3 linked regions of the Arabidopsis thaliana genome follow. The protein of the gene in region 1 interacts with the protein of each later gene in a pairwise test. Each region holds a gene or a part of one and is shown in the gene's direction. Other genes may lie near its edges.

Evidence for each region. Proteins that work in one complex are often made in the same cells at the same time.
Region 2: the proteins of AT4G01090 (region 1) and AT5G05190 interact in a two-hybrid assay, tested with the Arabidopsis thaliana proteins (one large-scale study listed by BioGRID).
Region 3: the proteins of AT4G01090 (region 1) and AT5G11090 interact in a two-hybrid assay, tested with the Arabidopsis thaliana proteins (one large-scale study listed by BioGRID).

The regions. Positions count from the first base shown.
Region 1 is NC_003075.7:469,995-475,908, reverse strand, and holds AT4G01090 (hypothetical protein (DUF3133)), read left to right. Parts: upstream 1-2,029; 5' UTR 2,030-2,508; intron 2,509-2,621; 5' UTR 2,622-2,660; coding exon 2,661-4,462; intron 4,463-4,549; coding exon 4,550-4,610; intron 4,611-4,703; coding exon 4,704-4,927; intron 4,928-5,017; coding exon 5,018-5,075; 3' UTR 5,076-5,403; downstream 5,404-5,914.
Region 2 is NC_003076.8:1,539,461-1,544,671, forward strand, and holds AT5G05190 (hypothetical protein (DUF3133)), read left to right. Parts: upstream 1-1,757; 5' UTR 1,758-2,392; coding exon 2,393-2,513; intron 2,514-2,688; coding exon 2,689-4,415; 3' UTR 4,416-4,677; downstream 4,678-5,211. Other genes in the region: AT5G05200 (Protein kinase superfamily protein), read right to left, coding at 4,746-4,928, 5,067-5,183. UniProt on the Arabidopsis thaliana protein: Plays a negative role in salicylic acid (SA)-mediated resistance to powdery mildew (e.g. Golovinomyces cichoracearum). May modulate plant immunity by regulating the relocation of EDR1 by interacting with CHC2 and modulating endocytosis.
Region 3 is NC_003076.8:3,522,686-3,526,380, forward strand, and holds AT5G11090 (serine-rich protein-like protein), read left to right. Parts: upstream 1-1,991; 5' UTR 1,992-2,110; coding exon 2,111-2,764; 3' UTR 2,765-3,161; downstream 3,162-3,695.

The DNA.
Region 1 (5,914 bases):
AAAAAAACAAGTGGGTGTGTATAAAAGTAGATGTCGGACCACAGTTGATAAGAATCAAATACCGAAAGCCTTATGGCTATTATTCTATGTGATAATTATGTAGATCACACATAAAAAAAGTTCACCAGCTCATTACTCATACTCACTTACATGATCAAGTTCAAATTATTAAAATGTAAAAGTCTTCATGTAAACAAATCGGGCCGTTCTAAGCCCATATAATGAAGCCTGTTATGCACCTAAACAAATAGGGCCCTTTTATCAATTAGGGAAAGAATTACGGGCCTAAACAGCTCAGAAGTTCTGTCAATTAAACTCTGTGTTTCCTTAGTCTAATAACTAACCGATAAAATAGGTAGTAAAAAAGTCAACGATAGTTATCCCAAAAATGCAATGTTAATATTTTTGTCAAATCTGATTGGTGTTGGAAAGTGGACTATCTATAAATCCATCTTTAAATGATAGACAGAGACACAGAGTAGAAGACTTTACAGCTGTACGTAGCTTTTTGTATAAACCACAAAAATAGTCAGAAGGCGACCTACACTATGTGATCATATAACACTCCCCATATATCTTTCAAGTCTTCGTTTACGAGGTTAATATTTTTCAACGTTTAGGATCCAGGTTTCTTTTAGATTCAAGTTGTGAATTAGAAAACAAACAAAAGAAGAAGTTTTGAGAGCACGTCTTCTAACATGGAAGCATTAAACTTGACGTATTTTTATGGACTATATTAATCGATATGCTGGGAGGATGATGAAAAAATAAAGAATTTATATATAAATATTAGTTATTTAGGTAAGTATGAAAGATAAATAATATATAAACCAAAAAATTTTTTTTAAAAAAATTAATTACAAAAATGCTATTGAATAAAAATAATTGTAATATTCGGATGATAAGTATATAATTATTTGTTTAATGTTTTAAAAACTATGATATCGCGATAAGTTTATAAATTATTTGTTAAAACATATTTATCGATTTAAAATTGTAAATCAGAATTTTTTATTTATGTATATTCAGCACAATAAAAGGAAATTAGACTTTTTTATATAATTAACATGATAATAATTATAACTACATGATATATAGAATGATAACATGCTAATATATTATATAACAGAATAATATTTATATGAAAACGTTAAGATATTCGATACATGAATAATGTTTACTGTAACGGATAATTTATACATAATATTTACTAATAATTGTTAACGAGGTTAACCTGATGATAACAATGAAAATATTTAGTAACAAAACAATATATGAGACTTTAATTAAAAAAAAGAAAAATACAGAAGAATAATAAAGTAACTTCATTAGTTCTTTTACTGTTGAAATAGTCCACAATTCCTACACCTAATTTTTCAGTCTTCTGAGCATATAAAGTGATATTTTCCTATTTTTATTTACTTTTTAATTGTATTATAATAATATTTGGGTATTTTTGGTTATTATAATAATATCTGAAAATATTATTGATATTTTTGGTTATTTTTATATTTTTACTAAAACAACCGAACCGATCCGAATCCGAACCAAAATCGAACCAAGTTTTTAGAATATCTGAATGGTTCTCAACCTCTTCATATCCGAATAGATTTGATATCCAAAAAAGAACCAAACAGATAGGGATACCCGAATGACCAGACCTAGTATTATTGATATAAAAAAGGTTGCTCAATGTATAATTTCATTTGACTAGCTGGTCTGTTTTCGTACAAACACACTCACAAAAGTACGAAAATAGGAAGTCGTCTTAGTTTTAGAAAATAACTATTGCTGCTTATTGGCATATATTGAAAAATCAAATACTACTAGTAATCGTAAGTTCTAAATTTGAATGTTTTTTTCCCGAGTAATTGAATTGTTCTTAGTAATTAAGTTCACAAATTTGGAAAATTGCGATATCTGAGAACGTATTAATTTACCTGTCGGTAAACAGTCACACTCATGTTTCTAGATTTCGTATATTTTAGTAATAATTTGGTTAGTCTCCTTATCTGCGAGTCAACGAGACCCGGTCCGCTCAACCGTACTACAGTCTAAATTCTAGTTTCACGCGCTTACTTACATTACATACGCGCTCATCTCTTCTTTACTCAAAAGTTTTAAAAAACGAATATCAAATCAACGCTAACAAAGTTTGATTTTTTGCTTCCATCTTCTTCCCCTCCTTAAGTTTTCAAATCTATTCATCAAATTTTCTTTTGTCTTTCCCTTAAGATTCCCGGGAAAGCCAAGGAAAAACGCTAGAAGAAAATTAACATAATAATGTTAATTGTTGCTTAAACCTTCCAGCTCAAGTTTGGTAGTAAGTAAGCAGACATTTAATCCCCCAAGAAGCAATTGAAGAAGACTTTTAATTCTTCTGAATTTTCTTTCCAAAAACCCCTTTTTAGAAAATTGGTTGCATCATAGAGATTGGTTCATTTATTCCCACCGGAGAAGATCATCAAATTCGTCTTCTCACCTATATCGCCGACGACATTCTTCACGGTTCGTTTGATTTCTACCTGTTGGTTCTTCGTTTTATCTGAATTCAATCGGAGATATATGTTTTTGAGTTCGAATTTGATAAAAAATCGAAACTTTTTTGATTTGAATCGCAGTTGGAAAAAAACAAAGCAAAACCCTAGAAATAGTGGCTGATGAGGTCGCGAGGCGATGTCTCTGAAGCAGAAGGTACGAGATCAGATGCTGGTTCTTCAAGAAGCGAAGAAGAAACGAGTCTGAAGGAGAAACACTCAAATTCGCGAGCTGGGTCTCAAAGATCTGGAAAAAGCTTGAGAAATGACGAGCCTAATTACGGATCAGATTCTTCATCTAAGAACACAAGCAGCAGCAACAACCCTATTGAGTATACAGAGCATGAACGAGCTGAGCTTTTAAGAAGGTTAGATTCTATCAAAGATCATCTACTTCGCGGTGGTGGTGGTGGTAATAATGTAGTTGATAAACCTAAAGAACCAGATCAGAATCAGCCTTTCCTTAGACCAGTTCATCTTCATGGTCATGCTAATCATAATCCTGGTCCTTCTTATTACCATCAGTATCCAGAACCTATTCAATACCCTGGACCGGTTCATGGAATGTATCCTCAAGCTTATCAAGATCCTTATGGGTACCAAAGAAGACCACCTCCAGTTCCTAATCCAAACTGGTATCCTCCTGGTCATTACCCTAATCAGATGGCTCGTCAGTATCCTGGAGGTCAATATGTTGAACTTGGTCCTGATATAGTTGAGCCACATTCTTACTATCCAGCTACTCCTGGTAGGTACGGTGACCTGCCTCCGTATAGCCCGGTTTCGTCTCACCATCGTGAAGAGAAACTCGCTACACAGTACAGTGATATGCCTCCGTATAGCCCGGTTTCGTCTCACCATCGTGGCGAGAAACTCACGACACCGTATAGTCCACGTGTTAATAACGGTTCGAGTTTTCCTTCTTCGATGGGCACTCCAGGTCCTCGAGGTGGTTATGCAAGGTGGCCGAGTGAACATGATTCTGAAATGGGCGGTGCTTTTGCTCGTGGGTATGTTAAGAAAGCTGTATCGGATACTGGTGTTCGACGTTGTCATCCTCTTGCTGGTGGTGCTCCTTTTATAGCTTGTCATAGTTGCTTTGAGCTGCTTTACTTGCCTAAGAAGAAGCTTTTGTCTCAGGAAAGGTTACATAAGCTGCAGTGCGGTGCTTGTTCTGAAGTTATTAGTTTCACAATCGTTGATAGGAAACTCGTTTTCTCTTCTGGTAATGAGGAAACAAAACCGGTCTCTCTAGAGGTTGAAGATAGAAACACAACAAACACAGTAGTGATAGAGGAGGAAGTCTCTTCTGTTGATTTCAACAGCTCAGGTAGAGATATTCCACGTAAGGATGAAGAAGAACCAGTGCAAGAACTGAGAAATCATCAGGATACTATTACTACGCAAAGCGTCCGCTCTGAATCTCAACACTCAGATGATGAAGAAAGATCGAGCAATTCTAGTGAACAACAACAGAAGGAGGTCAAATCTGTTCGTCGGCGAGGTAAAGGGTCAAAAGCACCTGAACCCGCTGCTCCTGATAATGCCAGTCTCCTTGAACTTTTTGAGTATTCTAATGTAAACAGAGCTGCACTCGCTTATGGAATGGCGCAGTTAGGTTATGAAAAGCCAGATAAGCAAAAGTCTTTCATGACACAGGACTCGCTGAAACCAGAATCAGTAGCTACAGAGACAGAGGTTTCTTACAATGGATACTCTAACACCGAGATCTCAGAAGATTCAAGGTACTCAAACAGAAAGGGTAGTGAGTACGGTTCGACAGAGATCACAACGAGGTCCTCTACTGATCAAAACGAAGACCAGATGAAGTCATTAGAGGTTTGGGTTAATGGACATCTTATACCAGAAGATCTTGTTAGCAGTGCTGAGAAATTAGCTGGACCAATCCAAGCTGGAAAGTATTGGTACTTCCATGAACTTCAGCATCCACTGTTTCTCTCTTGTTTTTGTTTTTCCCTTTACTCAGTTTCTGATACATGTCTCTGATTCAGGTATGATTACCGAGCTGGGTTCTGGGGAGTGATGGGCAAACCGTGTCTCGGTATAATACCTGTAAGTACCTTCACATTGTTCTCTCAAGTTGATTATTGGAATGGTGTCATCAAATTGATGAAGAAATGGTTGACTTACTTGTTGTTGTTGCAGCCATTTATTGAAGAGTTTAGCCATCCAATGCTGGATAACTGCGCTGCAGGAAACACAGACGTGTTTGTGAATGGAAGAGAGCTTCACAAGAGAGATTTCGAGTTACTTGTGGGTCGTGGTCTGCCTAGAGACAAGAACCGTTCTTACATTGTTGATATATCAGGAAGAATCCTTGATCAAGATTCAGGAGAAGAACTTCACAGCCTTGGCAAATTAGCCCCAACGTAAGCAGATTCACACAAATGATTTTTATTCTTTTGAGATTTTGAGATCACCTAAGATTCTAAAGTTTTAGTGTGTTAAACTTGAAACAGGATTGAGAAAGTGAAGCATGGATTTGGTATGAGAGTTCCAAGATCATTAGCTTCATGAAAACTCCCCCTAGTAACAACTACACAACCAAAATATGATTCTGCTTCTTGTTTCCATCTTCATATTATTTATTTGTTAAACACAACTGTAAAGTGTTTTTTACATCTTGATTTTGATTTTTGGTATTCTTTTTAAAATATCTTTGGGGAAATGTCTGTATGTTTTTTATTGCGACCAGAACCGGTTTAGGGGTTATAGACTGTATACAAACCGGGTTCTCTCGGTACAAGGTTTGTGCTTTGTATTATTTCCATTTTTTTATGGAATGATATTAGTTTGCTCTTAATGACTTTTTTTTTTATCTCTTTTATTGCTCTTTTGTAAGTTGTAACAGAAGCTTCATCGATAACATGGTTTACTCCTCCTAATTCCTTATTATCTCTGGTTTAACTAAATCGTTTATTTAAACCGGTTTTGGTTTGTAGGTTTCTTTCATGTCAGCAACAATATATGTAGGTCATTCGACCATACTCAACAATTCAATTAAACAATGTTCTCCTAGCTGATCTTTCTTTCTTCATGATTAGCTTCTAGGCTTGATTTGCCCTTTCCTCGAGTTCTAGGTGAATTATGGATTGGGATTATCTATCTATCGGTTAGTTATCCGGTTTCATCTTTCTTTCCACTAAAATGTTCATATTGTCTGCTAATTCCTCTCTTGGCTGATGGACTAGTTTTTGCACGTTTCTGAAGTGGGTCCTTCCTAAAATACAAGACAACAGATTATAACTTACTCATGGGCCCAATATCAATATCAATATCAAACAAGAAAGAGAATCTGTTCTTAACAGGCCTCGTGGTCCGTTCGTTTAGTTTTCATGTTTCAATATTTCTTAGAA
Region 2 (5,211 bases), on another chromosome or scaffold:
TGTATTAAAGAATTTCAGGTGTAAAAGAATAGTTTTTTGCTTTGAGGTGTCTATCTTTATTTATAATCGGAAATTTTCAAGTAAAAAGAAATAGACTCTCCAAAGCATAGGTAGAATAATTGAATATTCTTATCAATTAAATCGTCTATAGTAGCCAATTATGATTGCAATCGTTGTGCGAATATAACCAGCATGGTATATATCACAAGTTTTTAGTTAGTGAATTTTTTAGTTATTTCAAGAGCTTGTTCTGTAGAATAAACCAAAAACTAAAAGAAAATCCATTCTATTCAATACCATAACTTCATGTGTTCACGAAACATCATGGGAACACAGTAAATAGAAAAACAAAATCAATTTATAACTATATATGAATGTTGTCAAATGGGAGTTGACCTCCAATATTATCTTTTATACATTTGAAACTTTAATTTTGACTTTTTTTTAGTAAGATAGTTTTTGTTCATGTCCTGAATGTTAGGTAACAGCTAGCGATTTGAAATAGAAATAAACATTTACAAACCATGTAGTGGTCCAAACCATTGACTCAATTAAAGAGTCAACGCATAATCGAATTTGTAATCTGTGAAGAAGAAGACTCGAATGGTATTGAACTTGATTTGATTTGATTCGTTTTGTGAATCGTATCCCGTTAGTCATTGGATTGTGCAGAGAAAACAAATATTGAAGCAACCTCTAATTAAGTCTACAAAGAAATAGGACACCACAACAAAGGTTGACTTTTACAGAATCACAAAGCCAAAACGATAATCTAGAAAGTAGAGAAACTAGACAGCACAAAACGATAAAAGACCGAGTCTGTCGACCATTACCTTAGTTTTTTTTCATATCGTTAAAAAATAATGTGATATACATGTACGTTAATACTTAATATATACTATTTGACTTGAGATAGCCCTACAAAACTTTTATTCATTTATTTCTCACAAGTTCCCTAAAACTTTATGAACCAATTTGAAGATTAATATTTTGTTACGTTGCTATCAATTTCAAATTCTTTGTAGGTGCTATATTTGAAAACTGGTTTCATACCTAAAAAGGTTATGAACCAAAGACTCAACTTGTCTGGTTATAAATAAAAGTGATTGAAAACACTCACACGGCTAGTGAATTCTCATTAGAAAAATGAAAAGTTCGTTAAATTCGACCAGTGATATAAATATATATACGAAAAACATATGATCATTATGCTTTTTGTCAGGTCCTAGAAATAAATATGTGGAACCCAATTCATTTCAACATTCACGGTAATTTAATTTCCCTTGGCAACATTTAGTCATTTACCGGAATATTCAAACTTCGAATGTTAGGAAATATTTAAGAAGGTAATGGTAAAAAGTAAGAAAAAAAGGACTGGGATCAATAAATGAGAAAAATGGAAGTAGTAGTGGGGCTAAAATTTCTCTATCCAAAATAAATGAAACAGGCGCCGACATTAACAACACCATTCCATTTATAACTCTTTATCCAAATTTTTATTTAGCTGAACCCAATTTACTCTTTCTCTTATCTTCCTCTACTTAATTCTTCTAACAAAGCTCTGTTGCAGATGCTTTCTTTAGAAAAAAATTGGGCCAATATTGTTTATTGAAAAGATCAACAACAGACTGGGTTTTGTTTAAGAAAGAATAGTGATTAGAGAACGAGTCGTTGATGTTCTAATTGACTTGCAAGAATGAAAAAAGATACCAAAAAATTCCTCAAAGAGATATTAAAAAGAAAAAACTTTTTAGACACGGAAAAAGAGAGACTTTTCTCAGAGGAAAAAAACAAGAAAAGAGAGAAACCATAGTAAAAAAAAAAAAAAAACTGTCTGTCCAACGATTTGTTTTTGTTTTTTTGTCTCTGTTCTCTCAATTCTTCTTCTTCTTCTTCTACTTCGCCCCCACGACAAGAAATTCTCCTCTCTATTTCTATCTCATTCTTTCTCTCTCTCTCTATAAAATCTTCAACTTCTGGGTTTATTCTTCCACAATCCCTCGAGTTATAATAACTCTCTGCAAAGAGTTTTACTTTGATTCTTCTGTGGAGGATCTTACACAATTTTCATGGCTTCTTGAATCATGTAATCTTTTCCTTCTCGCCATTTTTCATCTCTACCCGGATCCGTAACCAGCTCTCAGACCAGACCCGGGTTATACCATTTCTCCTCCTTAAAAGTCACACCGCGTTGACCTTCTTCCTCTGGTCTCCTCTCCCATTTTCTTTTAAAGAACTTCACAAAGTTTCAATCTTTTACTTTGGTTCCTCTCTCTCTCTCTGTTTATTAGGGTTCTGGGTTCTGTTGATGATGATTCTCTAACTAATGAGGTAGAGTTATAACCCAAAAATAACAAAAGTAGAGTTAAGTCTTTGAAATTTGGTACCAACAATGGCGAGCCAGACGGGTCAGAAAATTCGGTTGGTGAGGTGTCCCAAGTGCTTGAAGATTCTACAGGAAGACGAAGATGTTCCTGTTTATCAGTGCGGTGGTTGTTCCGCCATTCTTCAAGGTAACTTTCTTTCCATTTCGATTTTGCCTCTGATTATAATGTGAACTCTGTCCCTGAATCTGGCTTTGTTCTACTCCTGGTTGTCCATCTGTTTGGATGTCTGAGCTCAAACCAGTTGTGTTTTGTGGCATGATCTCTTTCATTATTAAATTTGGTTGTTGCTTCTTTGATTCAGCGAAAAGGCGGAACATTGCTCCAAGCAGTACACCAAGTGCAGGAGAGACAGAGAGGGCTCAAGCCAATGAGCCGCAAAGCGTACCTGAAACCAACAATGTGTCCAGCAGCTCGGGGCAGGACACGGTTCTGCCGTCATCTCCAGGTCGTTCCGTGGACCAAGAGTATGAGAAAGGTAGGAATGCATCCATGGAGTCTACGGAGAAGGAGCTTGATGACTTAGAGTTATCTAATGGAGATGGGACAAATGAAATTCAAGAGCAGGAATGTTCACTTGGTGATTCTGAGAAGAATGAAAGAGAAGACAACTCCAGATTGGAGTCTCATATGATGAACACCGTAGCAGAAGCTGCAGGATCTGGATCTAGCTCTGGAAGCTTGAGCGTTGATCATGTGGTGGCTGCAAGAGCGAGTAATCCATCCGGTAACTCTGAGATTTCACCGGATGCTTCCCCCGTAGAAGAGAAGCAAAGCCAACTTGACATTCTTGCAAACAAGACTCCTTCTGCTTATGATGTGGTGGCTGCAAGAGCGAGTAATTCATCTGGCAATGCTGAGATCTCACCTGATGCTTCCCCTGTTGAAGAGAAGCAAAGCCAACTTGATTATCCTGCAAACAAGACTTCTTCTGCTTATGATGGGAGTGAGTCTTCCTCTGACGAAAGGGAAGGCCAACTTCTCGATGATGACGAACAATGGAATGCTCTTCAGAAAATAAGATCAGGCAAATTTGAGATGCATAGATACCCTGGGTATAAGGAGCAAGGCGCTAGTTCCTCCTCCCCTTTCTCTGAGAATAGGCGCAATGGGATTACCACATACAACGAGCGGCATCAGAACAGGTCTCTACAGCTAGAGGGACCAGGAGGGCGCCTTGGCAGACAAGGGAGGAGACATGTGACAGAACAACTTCGGCCTGACATGCCTTTCTATCCGAGAGAATCATACACACGTGGAAGCCCTTCCCATCCGTCACATGATGAGTTTGATCGCTATCCCCGTGCACACTCACTTCAAATGCCTTCATACGCTGGAGGCATGAACCACGATTTTGTTGACTATATGTATCACAACAACCCAAGGGCAAGAGGTCAGGGCCAAGGAAGTAGGATCTCAGGTGAAATGGGAAGAAACCATGGCGGTTGGTATTCAGGTCAGCTTCATAATTCTTACAGTTCATATTCTGCAAGTCCACAGAGACCAATGGAACAACCTGAGTATCATCCGAGATGGAGGCGTGAGATAGTCTCAGACGTGGAGGATCATCAGCGTAATAGACATGCTGGCCACCACCATGAGTTACAGACCCGTCGTCTAAGAGAGAGACAACGTGTGGCCAAGCGTCATGTCCGTCCAACAGCTGGTGGGGCACCTTTTGTTAGCTGTTACAGTTGCTCAGAAAACCTGCAGCTTCCTGTAGACTTTCTCATTTTCAAGAGGAAACATCATCTTCTCAGATGCGGCACTTGCACCACTGTTCTCAGATTCTCACTTCAGTCCAGAAATCATTTAGTTCCTGCAGTAACACATGACATAAATGCTAATAGGAATAGCAATTCAACATCAGAGTCTCCCATAGACAAAGCTCCCTCCAAACCTGAAAAGCTGAGATCCTCTGTTCAGGATGAGGAGCTACCTGTGGCTAGAGGCTCTCCGCTTCACCGACTAATGGGATATTCTACTGTAAGCCAAGTCTTTAAAGTTTCACAGCGTCCTCCTTCTATATAGATCTCTGCTTCAGATGAAGCAACGAGAACTATGAACTTCTGAGAATCTGAGATGGAAAGTTTTGCCATTGTTTGCCATTCTTTATTTCACTTCTGTGTATAGGTAAAAGATTTGTCTCTGCACTTTTGTTTAAAGTAGAAACCATGACACTTGTGAAAAATTATACAAAAAAATAGAAGAAGATATAGTTCATCTGTTGTATATAGTCATGATATGTTTGTAACAAGATTGAATTCATCATCGTTCTTGGCTTGATAATCTACTATAACATTACCACTTGTAAATAAATAAAAAGTTTGAATAGGTTTAGTGAAGTATATTTGCATAAACTTAGTTGAAGCTGTCCTTGTATCCATTCGTCCTCTTGTTGGACGCGATAGAGATCCGCTGATCCTGCAGCATGTTCAGGTTTGGGGCTAATAGTCTTGTGTATCGATCGAAGTACAGAAGTTGCTTCAACAGAAGTGCAAACTCTCTCGGGAACTTAAGACCATATGATTCGCTAACACGCACCTATAAGAAAGTGAACTTATTTTCAACTGCTGAAAGCTCAAATCCTGGGGTTTATCTTAACTCAATGCAACTTCTATATCCTCTTAACAACTTTCAAACCAAAAAAAAATCCTTAAGAAATTACGTCTAACTGCTTACCAGGTCGAGGAAAAGAGCATTCATCTGTCTCTCATCCATAACTACGTTAGCAGCAACAGCAGTAGTGTCTGAATTTGTTCCACGAGCTGTAGCCACTACTATCTCTGTATCTAGTTCCTGCAAGAAGAGATTCACTTTTCTCTAT
Region 3 (3,695 bases), on another chromosome or scaffold:
GTTTGATAGGTGCTACTAAGAATTAATTACACACAAAATATGGATTCTGTCAAGACCAATTTAGACAAAATGTGAAACGAGTAGATCAGACCTTATTAATAATCTCAATCATAATTCTCTCTTAAATATTTAATCAAATTAGACAAAATATAGGTCGTTTCTGACCGTCAAACGTTTAATATCTGTAGAAACCGTGTTTAAAGGTTTAGTTGGTAAGAACTCTCTGAAATGTATCCATCAAATTCTTAAAATTGATATTCTGCACCAAAACTATTACTGGCAATAATCTGTCTAAGCATATTTTGTATTTTGCGGTTAAGGACGCATTGGAATAAGACATATATTATTACTATGGTTGAGTTCATCACCAAATTCCTTCTGCAGAGAAGCTGTTATACCTTTAAGATAGCATATAAATGTTCTAATACATCAGAATAGTGTTCGAGTCAGTAGTTCCATCAATTTGTAGGGACTCTTTAGGTCTAATATGAAACACAGTTGCATGGATCTCCTCCACCGTAACAACTTTATACCAAATGCTAGATTCGTTGTTGTTGTTACATTGCTTTTAAGCCCATTCAAGAGTTTGGCTAACTCACCAGTAGGTTTAAGGTGAAAAGTTGTTGAAATATGTTAAGTGTTACGTGTTGAGTAACTCTTGACTAATTATGATCATAATACGAAATTCTTAAAGTGTTACGAATTAACGATTGGCATTGCCTTCCAAAAAACTAGCTATATCAAGTCCTCTCTCTTTGGCCCTTTTTTATTTGGTAGTGAGCTGTTATTTCTTCTTCTAGCATTAAACCATCTTGAAAGGAAACAAACCAGCAAACGTAGGTACTTTTAATGATGGTGTCAGTTAGATCATAGATGTAACTTTATATGTTACCTTCATGTTATAAGATTTCTATATTGATGTTGTTGGGTATTAGCAACTAGTATTGATGAACCCAAAAAAAAAAAAAACTAATTTTGATATTTATTATAAAAAAATAATAATTAGTAATTAATATTTGATGTTAAGAGACTATATACGTAGACCAAAGGCATGTTTCAGACAAAAAAAAAACAAGAACAATAGAGTGCTAAATTTGATCAATGTAAGCTTTTAATATCTACTACAAAATCTAAAATTACTAAAAGTCATAAATCTTCAAATTGCTATTAAATTTATTTTATAAACCAAATTTAATTATTTAAAATATGTTTATAAAACTATTCAAAGTCTACCAAATAAATATGACACAAATCTTCAAATTGCTATTAAAATTATTTTATAAACCCAATATAAAGTCATATTTATTTGGTAGACTTTTGAATGGTTTGACATATGTGATTTTAGCTCACTAATTTATTAGTATTGAACTCTCTTACATTTATTAAAACTATTTTATGTTGGCAAAAATGTTTTACTCTAGAATACACTATACATAAGACTGATTTATTCGAAGCCTTCTTTAGATAGCCTAAATTTACACAAATGTTGTTAGATGCTAAACTTTTGTATAATCTTATTAATCTGAATCAATACCGTTACAGAACCATTGGGTTGTGACGATAAAACAAACAAAATAAAACCATTGGAAATGTAAATCCGGCTCTTGGCAAAACAACGGGCAATGGCAATTTACGTAATTATCTAAACTTTCTCTGGGTACTCTCCTACTTAAGAGCTGACATCTTTCTTAGTCATGACACGTGGCAGCTTTTTTAACTGCCCCCAAAAGCATTCCCTCTGATTTGTCATCTCAGCCGTTGGATCCGAACCCGATTCTTTTCGAAACGGCAAAACCGCCTCAAATTGAAAAACAAATTAGTAATTTATTTTGCTAACCATAGTTAAGTTTCATTAACCATGGTTAAATTTGACTAACCCGACATAGAAATACCTAAATTTCGAAAATGGTCAAAGTCTTTGAACGTATTTACATTTATTGCCATTGAACAAGCTTTTGCTATAAATTCGGTTCCTGAGACTCGCTAGGTTTGCCGAACCAACCTCCCTTAGGCACTTTCTACAGAGCAGCTAATCAAAAAAAAAAAAAAAAAACCTTGTTCTTCTCTTCTTCTTCCTCTCTCACAAATTTGACTTTCATAGAAGAAAAAAATGGTGACTACATCGTCACGAACCAAGTCAAACGGACCGGTGCTTCGTTCACAATCACCGTCAGGTCGATTTTGCGGTGGTTACTCAAGAGCCGTTCCGTCATCTTCTTCATCAGCTTTCGCTTCATCAACGAGTTCTAGCTTTTCATCTCCGTCGTCAGCTTTTTTCAGCAATCACCGTCATCACGAGAGCAATCACAGTCACCACCGATCTGCGTCACCGACTCGTGTGAATCTCTACACAGCGCAACCGATGTCTCAGTCGTTTCGTTACTCTCTCGATAGCAGATCTATATCTCCGACTAACAAATCGATCTCCGTTTCGAAGAATCAGCCACCGAGCCATAATCACAAGATCTCAAGGAGATGTATGTGTTCTCCGACGACGCATCCAGGATCTTTCAGATGCAGTCTACATAAGAACGTAGCGAATCCACATGGTCAAGGTACAGCTTCGTATACAACGAATGGATTGAATATGCGTCGATCTGCGATGACTAATTCGCTGGTGAGAATTGGTGGTGTTGAAGGAGAGTGGGTGAGAAGAGCTTTGACTACTTTGATTCGACCTTCTTCGCATCATCTGAAAAGACGAGCTGCTTATCAGCCACGTCCTAGTCGACTCTCAATCATGGCGAAAGCTGATGAGAATTGATTTTGATCTGGATTTTGGTTAATTCAGGTTTGTTTTGTTTGTTGTTCTTCTCTCTTTAAACGAAAACCACCACAGGATTTAGTAGATCCGGCGAAGAAGTCTTGTTATGAAGCTGAGGTCTGCGAAGAAGAATCATCCTCGAGAAATCGAGATTTTGTAAAAGGAAGAAACACACACCTATCATAATTTTTTTGTTGTTGGGTGAAAGAAGATGCTAGAATGCATTGTACATACGTTCTCTTTTTTACTGTTTTTGTTGCTCTCTCTTGCGTCTTTGTCGAACCCCAAAAAAAAAAAAATGTTCGGAGTCTCACCAAAAATTAGAGACCTAAAATCGAAAATCAAAGAACTGAATCTAATTTCTGTATTGAACAAAGTGAGATTTCTCATTCCTCACAATCAATTGTGTATGTGTTTGTCAGATTAGCGTTTTTTTTTTCGTGTCCCGTCAAGTCAACGTTCGTGTACTCCGTTGACCGGCGTTGTTTGCCATTATCCGTCGTCGTTTCTACCGTGAAGCGTTGCGTTAGTTTTCCAGGTATGCGTTATTCGTCGTGTCAGGTATGTTCCATTCGTTTTTTTTTTTTTTCCGTTTTATGTTACTTACATTTTTTTGTAGTTATATTTTCGTGGACATTTTGAATTTTGTTTTTGTTTTGCAGGTTGCGTTTGGTGATGGAGTTTGAACTACTTGACTAACAGGGACATGAAAATTCAGATGGAATTGAGAGAAAAACAAAATAAATTAGTAGAAAAATACATTAAAAACAAAAACAAAAGAGGTGGAAAAGGTCTTCACTTTCTGGACATATATAAAAAAACAACGAAAAATCTATGGAGGGAAAAACATGACTGAAGACAAAATTTACATAGGAGGGAAATGGAAAAAAAGTGTTTTGGTAAAAGAGATAGCTGACTGACCCAATTAGAA